Linked DNA regions of Saccharomyces cerevisiae S288C. The gene in region 3 interacts genetically with the main gene of each other region. Each region holds a gene or a part of one and is shown on either strand. Other genes may lie near its edges. The genes, in order: UGA4, YBR062C and YGR054W.

Region 1 (3,762 bases), on a different chromosome or scaffold from region 3:
TATCAGTAGAGAAAATATTTCATCAAAGCCATCTGTTGGTAAGCTTGGTGGTCCCTTGCTCGATTACCTCTCCTCTGATGAGGATTAGAGAAGAAAATCGTTTCCACCAAATTCTAAGTATCTGCCATTAACATTCCCGCTGAGCTGATCATAAATTATCCGCGCTTCTTGATTTTTATGTTTGGGCGCAGAAAACAAGCTAAAACGGTGAGATAGGATAAACTATAATATAATTAAATTAAAAATACTGACTATATAAGCTAGACCTTATAAACTCTGAATATAAAATCTTTATAAAGGTTTGAACATTTATGGTTCCTGTTTGGACATAATTGTGTCGATAACATCAGCACCAACGGCTTCAGTATAATCATCATCCGACAAATTGGTTGCTGGACCGTGGTAGTATTTCTTCTTGTAAACTTTGTAGTAGATACCTGCAAGGATCCAGATACCGGGACCAATAACGCATGCATAATTCATTGTGGATTTAGTAATACCATGTTGTTGAGAGGGGAACATAACCAAAATAATAATGAACAATTGGAAAGCAACACCTGTCCAAGCAACAATTGGAGACCAGATTTTACCCAAATAAAATGGACCAGGTCTAAATAAATCTCTACCTGATGTTAAACGGAAAACTGTAGGGGTACTCCATGCCAAATTGTTTCCTGCAACAGCCAGACTAAATAATGCATCAGTGGCGGCATCATCAATCAAACATAACAATCCTAAAATCAAGGAACCTACACAGGCAGCCAAAATAGCGAAAAAAGGGACCGAGTATTTAGAATCCACTCTTTTAATATACTTTGATAGGGGCAAACCGTTATCACGGGAAAATGCCCAAACTTGTCTAGAAACAGCTGTGGTAATGGAAGCACCCATTAGAAATTGACAGAATGCGATCAATGACATAAATGCAATGGCCCATTTTTTTCCTAACGAATCATAAATTATTTGAGCCAAAGCAAAGCCGTACTTGGAGTCCAAAACGCTGTCAATATCAGGGTTGATACAGGCCATTAAACAAATAATAATCAACCAACCTAAAATCCAACAAACAGCAATAGATGAGATTATACCAATGGGGACTGATTTCTTGGCATCTTTGGCTTCTTCAGATTGATGGACACATGAATCAAAGGAACCAATAGTCCAGACAGCAGGCATGAAACCAGCAAGACAAAATTGCCAACCATTATTCCAGTCACTTAAGTTTTCATATTTCCCAAATATAAAGTCACCATCATTGAAACCTCCCATTCTATGCTTGGTACCAATCGGTAGCGCAATGAACAATAAAACAATAATGAAAAGATTGGCAAATATACTTAGCGTCTGCAGACGAGCAATGGCCCCAGAAGCAACACATGTACAAATACACATAACCACCACTGCTCCAGCAAATATACCGTAAAGTTTCCCACTCGTTACTTCAAAATTTCCATCTTTGGTTAATGTGACAGCAGCAGCAATTTCCTCAGCCAAACCGTAATCAATGGAACACACACCGGCTGCCAACGCTAGGGAGTTTGAGCAACCAATAATAAAAGAAATAATCTCTTTATAACCTTCTGGAGCATAGTAATACGTCCAGTAGTACAAACCACCAGCGGTAGGAATGGAACTTGCATGTTCAGCCATGGTAATACCCACCAGTAAAATGAAAAACGCAGCAACGAACCAACCCCACACTAATGTTGCTGGACCACCACCGAGCCCACCACCCATCACAGATGCAATGGAGGGCAATAGACCCATAATGGAGAACGCAATACCGAAAACTTGTAATGTTGAAAATTGTCTTTTTAATTCTTGTTTATAACCGATCTCTGCAAGCAGTTGGTTATCATTTACAGATTTAGCAGCATCGATATAGTTCACTTCACCGGCACCAGTCTTGGAGCGAATCGACCTTAGGTTAGACCCAAGGCCTTGTAACTGGTAAGCCTGACCGATATCAGTGGATATTCTTTGTTCTACTGATATCTTATTCTCGTTTTTGCTTGACATACTCATTGTTAGTAATAATAAATTATAAGACCTTGTTACACTTCACAACTGAAGTAAACAGCTTATACTGTTTTATATAATCACAACAAGAAGGAAAGGACCATGCCAGTCAACAGAATACGTTTGAACTACTTCTTAATATATATGCATTTGTTATTCAAGAGTAAGCCGTATTCGCTATCATTATCACTGAGCACAATCTCACATCAAGATTCTAACCCAAAGAAGGAACTGATTACTGTGCCAAGCCGCGTTATCCGACTTAAAATTAGTAGGTTCTCCCCTTATTCGATAAACGTACATGGGTACGTGCACCGGTATTGGACCATCGAAGGCCCTCACCTCCATGGTAATAGATTGCAAAATCCAACATGACATAAAACATCTCGAAATTGCCGCCGGCGGTTTTTGGCGCACGATAAGCGATAAGCGATTAGCGATAAGAGTACCTTAGTAAGATGCCTAGGAAAAAGAAAATAAGATACGCAAGCCGCGGTTAAACAATGATATAGAGTTGCCTGATCAGTAACCACTAAAGAGAAAAATAGATCCCAAAAAATCAATCATTTCAATGATTGAAGAAATTGTCATTCACAATAAACACTGGAAATGAGTGCAAAGTGGAAAACAATGTGGAAAAAGAAAAAAAATTAAACTTGCGCAAGCCCGGAATCGAACCGGGGGCCCAACGATGGCAACGTTGGATTTTACCACTAAACCACTTGCGCTAAGTGAACTTGAAAACGGGAGCGTTGGATAACAACTAATACAAGACTGTTGACAACAATTCTGCGAGAGTAACTTGTCGTCAACACTTATTATCATTTTGAATCACAGAGGGTGCTTATCCTCTTGGAATAAATGGTCTACATCATTCTAAATGGTAGAAGCATGGAAGCCCAGACGTTAACGAGTTACACAGGTGTTTATATGTTTAGATTTATGTATGTAGCAACGCTAAGCTATCTCATCTTGAGATACAACACGAAAAATGGAATGAACAGATCACCTAACAGTTAAACCACTCTAACAGTTACTATTAGAGTGGTTAAATGTAAACTCTTGTGCAGTAAATAAGAACTAACCTTAAACCTTCACTAACGAAAGTGCTACTAAAAGGTACCTCAGCAATGGATTTCTGTTTCCAGACTGTTTTGAAAGTACAGGCCATTCATTATAATGACTGCGGTTTATTCAAGGCAAACCATCCGACATGCCTCAAGAGTTACTGGAAAATGAGGTGGTCTCCTTGTTATACAGAGACTGACTATTGCTTCGTCTCAAGCTTTGTAAAAGGTACCCACCCTTCTTGAAGTCACCAGAGTTAAAACCAACCTCTTGGTTTCGAGAGGTTGAAGTCTCTCAAAATGTAACATTTAACTATAACATCAGTCGTATGTTATTACTGGATGAAAGATACTGGTATCACTGCTCTTTGCTTCGCATGCTGTCACAAATTGTCGTTGTGAGCTCTCTTAGTTATTTGAATTAGTGATAAGATATTCACATATCTTACTTGCTTCTTCTTACATCAAAGAAAAAACATAAGCATGATAAATAAAAAATGCAAGATCCGCTCTCAAATTCTTTACAACGAATTCTTTGTTTAGACTAAACGATAAAGAAATTCTTCTGCAAACATAATCAAAGAAACTGTGCAGGAAATGAGAACGGCAAGAAAAATATTGGTGGTGCAGTTATGGACTGACTATCCGTATTCCGACATCAAAATGATACCGTACT
Region 2 (2,793 bases), on a different chromosome or scaffold from region 3:
TATGGGGGACATCGGTTGTAAATCGACAGAGACAATTTTCCTGTCCTCCTTATCTGAACTGGGACTTTCATCAAACAGTTTTCTCGAGAGCACTTGTGACCATGAACCTGGTGCTGCACACAAATCTACAACTCTTTTTAAGTTTGGATCATCCAGGAAATGAAATTGGTCATTGAGTTGAAGTAGTTTGAAAGCAGATCTAGCCCTATAGCCCTGCTCTTTTGCTTTTCTATAGTACAAATCTCTTTTATCTTTGCTGCTCTTACCCATCTTGAATACTTTCTTTTTAAGCTTGCCTTGTACTCATCTACTGTTGTTTTACAGTAATGTTAGGAGCATCGCTTGAAAATTTTCAACTCGCGATAATTATTGTTAGCGCAGAATAATAATACCTAGTAAAAAGTTTATCGTTGCTTTTACTTCATCATGATAATCAAAATACTTGTAGGTCTGTCTTCTGTGAAAGAAGACGTAGTTACCTATTCTACTTAGGTTTGGTGTCTTTATATAATATAAAAGAAAGATATTAACCGTACATACCCCAATCTTCTTCCAGTTCTGCTTCAGTTGTATCAATCTCATTAATGATTCGGTGGCCCATAACATTATCTCTGCATAATGGACATGTTGTACTTCGAGATAGCCAGACAGACAAACACTCTAAGTCGAACTTATGATGGCAATGAGGTAATTCAACTACTAAGGGGTACTCATCTTCTAAATAATTAGTGTAACAAATGGAGCAGTTGTCAGTTGCTTTGAGCTTTTTTTTATTGATTCGTGGTAAAGAGGCTGCAAAAGTATCAGGACAGCCCGCACTCTTGCCTTTATCCATTTCTTGCAACCATTCTTCCTGTAATGATTCTGGAAGCATTTGCGATAATAATCGTAAAAGTAGTGTTGAATCTGAATGTGCATCACCCTCACCACTGGTGTTACCAAAGTTTTGAAATAGACCTTGCAGTTGGGATCTGACCTGTCTTCTCTGCTCCTCCTGTGAAGTTCCTCCTACTTCTTGGTAATCCCTTGAGTTTTGTTGTATTCCATGTTCCTCTAATCTAATGATGAGTGCAGATTAAAATTCGGTTAGTTAATTGGCTTTGGGGAACTTACTTCATAATATATCATTACATACCTTCATATGTAGACATTTTTTTGATTGTGATTATGTTTGATGAATATATCTTTCTATTATTTCTTTAGTAGTTTAGGAGTGGCAAAACTGGTATTATAACGAACTGAGCGCTCCTCGGTGCAAACAAAAGCCGCCCACAACAATTTTGACCAACTTAGGCAAAATGAAGCCATTACTAGAAAACGAAGAGTATATATCATCACAGTAATTCGGGTAGGAGAGTTGGTCACCAAAATGGGACTCATATGGAAGGCAAAAATTTCGAGCTTATTCATCATGGTTGTACCCGTAAAGTTTTTGTTTCCGATATATAGAGTACAGATGTTTTCTAGTTAACAGTTGGCATATCTTACATTTTCCGGATTATGTATCAAATAAACTTTATCTATGAATAGTTAGAGTACCACAGTAGAATCGAAGTTGCGCCTTTATCATTAACTAACAATTTTTTTGTGGGAACCGAACTATTATGTCTCCTGGAACAAATCTTTTGACTTTTAACCCGGAGCAAATTGCGAATCCTTGTCAAATTTTGAACTTCATCATAGCGGATAAGATCCTTATGAATCACTTCATCTAATCGCTCTCGTTTTTCTCGGTATGCTCCAGTTATTTCAATTGGGATGTTGTTATCAAAGAAAACTGGTTTTTCCATGAACATAGTCAGGAAAAGTTCGTCACCAAATTGGCTTTTTATAATCAAAAACGATTTACAGATATCACGAATTTCTCTACTCACAGATTTAGTATTATCTCGAGCAGTGAAGCTTCTCATAATTGAAATATTTCCAGGCGCGTATTGTCTGCCATAATGGGAGAGAGATACATCGCATCCCATAGGAACTTTAACCATTGTTTCGTTAATACTTTTTTCAATACCTTTAAACGGCGTTTCATTCGCGCTATCAAGTAATGTATTATTTACCACTGCTTTAAACTCGGGATTCGAGCCAGGTGATCGCGTTAAGACCTCTGTTGTATAATCTTTAGTTAATAAGTCGTACTCATCAAAATTGCCATAGGTGAAATTTTCATCGCTTTGGTTCAAAGTTACCATATTTTGCCTACCAATGCTGAGAACTGACTCCTTTGAATGTAAAACTGTGGATTCCTCATAATTTCTCTCTTCGGTAACGTCACTTCGATTATTGAGGCAGTCTTCATTAAAGTTTATTACAATGGATATGGTATCACCAGTCTTGAACCTACAATCATCTATTTTAGGTGAGCTCGTAGGCATTATTGGAAAAGTGTTCTTTCTCTTAATAGAAGAGATTAAATACCCGATAATCACACCCAAAATTATTGTGGATGCCCAGATATCTTCTTGGTCATTGTTTTTTTTCGCTTCAATCTGTAATCTCTCTGCAAAATTTCGGGAGCCAATAGTGACAACATCGTCAATAATAAGTTTGATGGAATCGGAAAAAGATCTTAAAAATGTAAATGAGTATTTCCAAATAATGGCCAAAATGCTCTTTATATTGGAAAATAAAATAGTTGTTTCGCTCTTCGTAGTATTTAACATTTCCGTTCTTATCATTGTAAAGTCTGAGCCATATTCATATGGAAAAGTGCTTTTTAAACCTAGTTCCTCCATATTTTAGTTTTTTATCGATATTGGAAAAAAAAGAGCTATCAGAAATCAGTCAATATAT
Region 3 (3,762 bases):
TCAGGTGACGTTTCACTTGACTTTTTATTGGCTCTTCTTCTCCTGTTCTTGGTGTTGGCGTCCTTGTTGGCACTCATGCCCGGAACTAGCCCTGGGATGGTCTTCTTTGCTGCACCAGGAGGAACTCCGGGGACAATACGTCCACCGCCTGTTCTTCTTGCGTGAGGTGGTTTATAAGCGCCTCCAGCTTTGGCCTTAGATCCGTTTCCATTGGAGCTTGCTTCTCTGCTTGGGTGTTGACTTATGTACTCTTGAACGCTAGAATGTATTTGCAATTCTGATTTATTGGATATTTTAGGATCAAGTGAAGATGTGGTCGAATCAGGTAGCGGTTCCCAGTTATTAATGATATGGTTCTCGAAAAATGCTTCGTCTTTGTTTTCCAAAGTTTTGTAATTACATGGTGACCTCCAGTCTACCTTCAAAAGCTCCTTGAACTCTTTAACAAATACTAAAGAGCCTGATACATGCCATATTTTAACGCCGTTATCCACTCTCAATCTTGGTGAAGTGGTAGCTGTCATGATAAATTCTCCACCCGGTGACCATTTGCAGACAGAAGTGTTGGTAGCGTCAAATTTACTCACACACTTGAATTTGTCGAGACGATCTAGGATTTCCACGGAGCCCTGTAAATTACCAAACCCGGCGATAAGAATGTAATGACCAGAGGGAGAGAAAAGCATGGTATTTTTGGCTTGTTGAGGTAATGAATGGACAACATTACCTCTTAAGTCAAAAAAGGAAATGGTTGCTGGCATGTAACCAGCGATGACACCGAATTGCCTTGAAGTTGGCGACCAAGTGAAATCGTGGACAGGTCCAGTGGTTAAAGAAACACGTACAGAGTTACCACCCAAAGTCCCGTTGACACCTTGGAAAGACAGTAAGTATAGTGTGTTTTCACCATAATATGATTTGTTTGAGGAATCAAAATCAGTAATAGCTAAACATAAAATAGCATTACCTAATGGATTCCATTTCAATTGGCAGGAATCAGCTTTAAAGAAAGTTTTGGAGGCAATTTTCTTGGTGATTTTACCTTCAGAGAGGGCCCATATGATTAATTGAGCCGGTTTACCACCCTTTTCTGGTGTGAAAGTACAAATTGTTGGATGTTCAGCTGGAGAGATTAGGTAGGTGGTGAAATGTTGGGACGTTTCATCATCAGACAAGACAGCAAACGGAGATTGGAAGTCGAAATTGTCGGCATTAGCGGAGCTTAATTTAACAATCTTCAAGTCGTGTTTAAAAAGTCTTAGCCCATAATTGTCTAATTTGGAGAATTGTAAAAACCAACCGCTTTGGGATTTGGCTTGATATTCGTAAGCAGGGACTATATCCTCCGAAACGCAATCTTTCTTAAATGGTTTATTCAAATACCAAACTTTAACGTTCTTGTGATTTGGGTCTTGTATAGACGCTCTCTCCCAAGTGCTTAAGTAGTTACCTGCTGGAGAGAAGTGTAGGTCATAGACGTCGGACAACTTCATTGTTAATAGAACGTTATCCAAACATGGACCTGTAAAAACTTTGACGTTCTCCTTCGTAGATAAAGCCAAAAATCTGCCACATGGCGATAAAACCGAGGAAATGACAGGGAAATCCTTGGAGTTTGTGTTGGATTGCTCAAAAGTTGGGTAGCTTTGGAAGAGCTCTATATCCTGAGAGGTTTTCAGGAAAAACTGAGATGACATAATGTTTAGGTGTTATTGAACCTGACTGTTTGTTGTAGTACTATGTTTTTTTATCGAGATGCAATGGATAGTTTAAACACAACACGTCTCAATCAACACTAAAGAAAGTTATGATTCGGTAATCTATAGGTTGCTTCTACCGTAAAGAATTCTCGCTATGTCTAGTCGTCTGGATAGATCGAGGAAAAGGAATCTTCATTGAATAACGTACACTGAAAATAAATCGCTATGAAGCTGAAATTTCATTGATGGACATGAAGAAAGCGAAGTGAAAAAAAGGAAGAAAAAGAAAGTATTGAGGAACATTCTGCGGTCGGGTAATAATATCGTACAGTATGACAGCGGCAATTTTTAATAATATTTCTGCTCACTAATAAAGTAAAGAATATAAAGAAAGGACCTTAATCTAAGATAGATGTTACTTTTTCATCTTGCAGTTTTAACACATAGAACCGAGTCTAAACATATTGAAATATTTCGATTTCTTTTGTACGAGTGCTATAAAAATGGGAAAGAACTAAAAAAAATAGGACACAACATTAACTGCCTGAGTTTCTTGAGGAAAATATTAAAAGAAATATTAGTTAAATAAATAGATTTGGTGAGATGTATTTCTATACACTGAAAGACATTCATACGCATCTCATGATGAGTCGAGCGCCTTGCGTTAAGAAGGCGCGTAGTTACGGTTACGAAAAAAATGAATAGAATACAATGTAGAGAGCGCCCTTAAAAGGCCCATAAAGAGGGATGACAGGTATGAGCCATAAAGCTGCAAGCCTCTACGGAAAACGATACATCACAACCAAGGAAAGATAGACAGTTTATATTCATAGATAATAGGGGGAAAGACTTATGTTACTAAAGTGTGTTTGCAGAGCCGGCATAATATCTATCAAAGGAATCTTTCCTCGATGGTACTCCAATTCTCAAAAAGTGGCCAATTTGGGGCAAATAACAGATTATTTAGTGGTTAAAGGTGTTCCCAATTTGTTACAAAAAATGTTCAAGGAGTCAGTGTTGGCGGATAACGTTGTTTTTAGACTATTTCCAACATCGCATCCATATATTCCAGTGTTACATGGAAAATCAAAATACATGGCTTCTTTGAATGCAATGCGAATGATAGTACGAAAGTTTATCTTGGGCGATGAATGTCGCTTGCATATAAGTTCAGTAAAGACTCTAACATCGACATCGCATGATGAAGAAGTTAAATCTGCTCTTCAGAGTTATAATACCATAACATGTAATGACAAATTGGTGATCAAATGGCAAAGCTGCATACCGGAAGACCATTGCAAGATTACCAAATTAGAAATTAATGACAGATTGAAAGAGGAGAAACGAGGCAATGGTGCAGGCGGTTCATTTTCAATGAGGTCGGTACCAGTCATAGACTACATTTTACATCCTACAGCCAATAATTTGAACCAAAGTGTTATCTCTGAGTACCTTGAAAATGCAGCTGAAAGGTCAATGGAAAATAAGGTCAACGAAACTCAAAATTCCAAAGAAGATGAGAAGAAGAAAAATGATGGCGACGGTAAAAGAAGTAAAAAAAAGAGATTATCCCGGCTGATTAAGGGAACATTCATATTCGAATTTAACGAAGAAAATTCGAAAATTCTGGTTCATACCATTGAAGATGTTGAACTGATCCATTACGAGAAGAAAATTGCCACTCGCGGTGCATTTGCATGTTAATACGATATACAAGAATTAGATAGCATCTTTATTTGTAAATAATAAACACACCATCATAAACATCACCATCAACCTTGCACAGGAGAAAAAAGGAATAAAAAGGATAAATTGATTATGATTATTTTTTAAAAAAATGAATATGTAATATTATTTTATGTCGATTAGGTAGTATGTAATACTGAAATTATGCCAAAGTTCCTAACTAAAATTGGATAAGCAGGGGATAAAAAGTCAGATCAAGGAAAATGAGGCGAAACTTTCAAAAGGTCTTTTTTACTTCTTATTTTCCATCTTGAATTAGGCAAGGTTTCTCAAAATTTTTCAATTGGAACTTTGCTGGTACTGTTTCCGTGTTCAC

Evidence for each region.
Region 1: mutations in YGR054W (region 3) and UGA4 are lethal when combined (synthetic lethality), as found in Saccharomyces cerevisiae (one study listed by BioGRID).
Region 2: mutations in YGR054W (region 3) and YBR062C are lethal when combined (synthetic lethality), as found in Saccharomyces cerevisiae (one study listed by BioGRID).

Annotation. Positions count from the first base shown.
Region 1 is NC_001136.10:82,533-86,294, reverse strand, and holds UGA4 (Uga4p), read right to left. Parts: upstream 2,026-3,762; coding exon 310-2,025; downstream 1-309. Other genes in the region: active spliceosome conformation promoter CWC2, read left to right, coding at 1-88. UniProt on the Saccharomyces cerevisiae protein: Required for high-affinity, high-specificity GABA transport. Also transports putrescine.
Region 2 is NC_001134.8:365,450-368,242, forward strand, and holds YBR062C (uncharacterized protein), read right to left. Parts: upstream 1,152-2,793; coding exon 1,136-1,151; intron 1,054-1,135; coding exon 527-1,053; downstream 1-526. Other genes in the region: tRNA methyltransferase TRM7, read right to left, coding at 1-270; CNM1 (Cnm1p), read right to left, coding at 1,521-2,735.
Region 3 is NC_001139.9:594,628-598,389, reverse strand, and holds the start of YGR054W (translation initiation factor 2A), read right to left. Parts: upstream 1,698-3,762; coding exon 1-1,697. Other genes in the region: MCO32 (Mco32p), read left to right, coding at 2,553-3,404; protein kinase FMP48, read right to left, coding at 3,685-3,762. UniProt on the Saccharomyces cerevisiae protein: Functions in the early steps of protein synthesis of a small number of specific mRNAs. Acts by directing the binding of methionyl-tRNAi to 40S ribosomal subunits.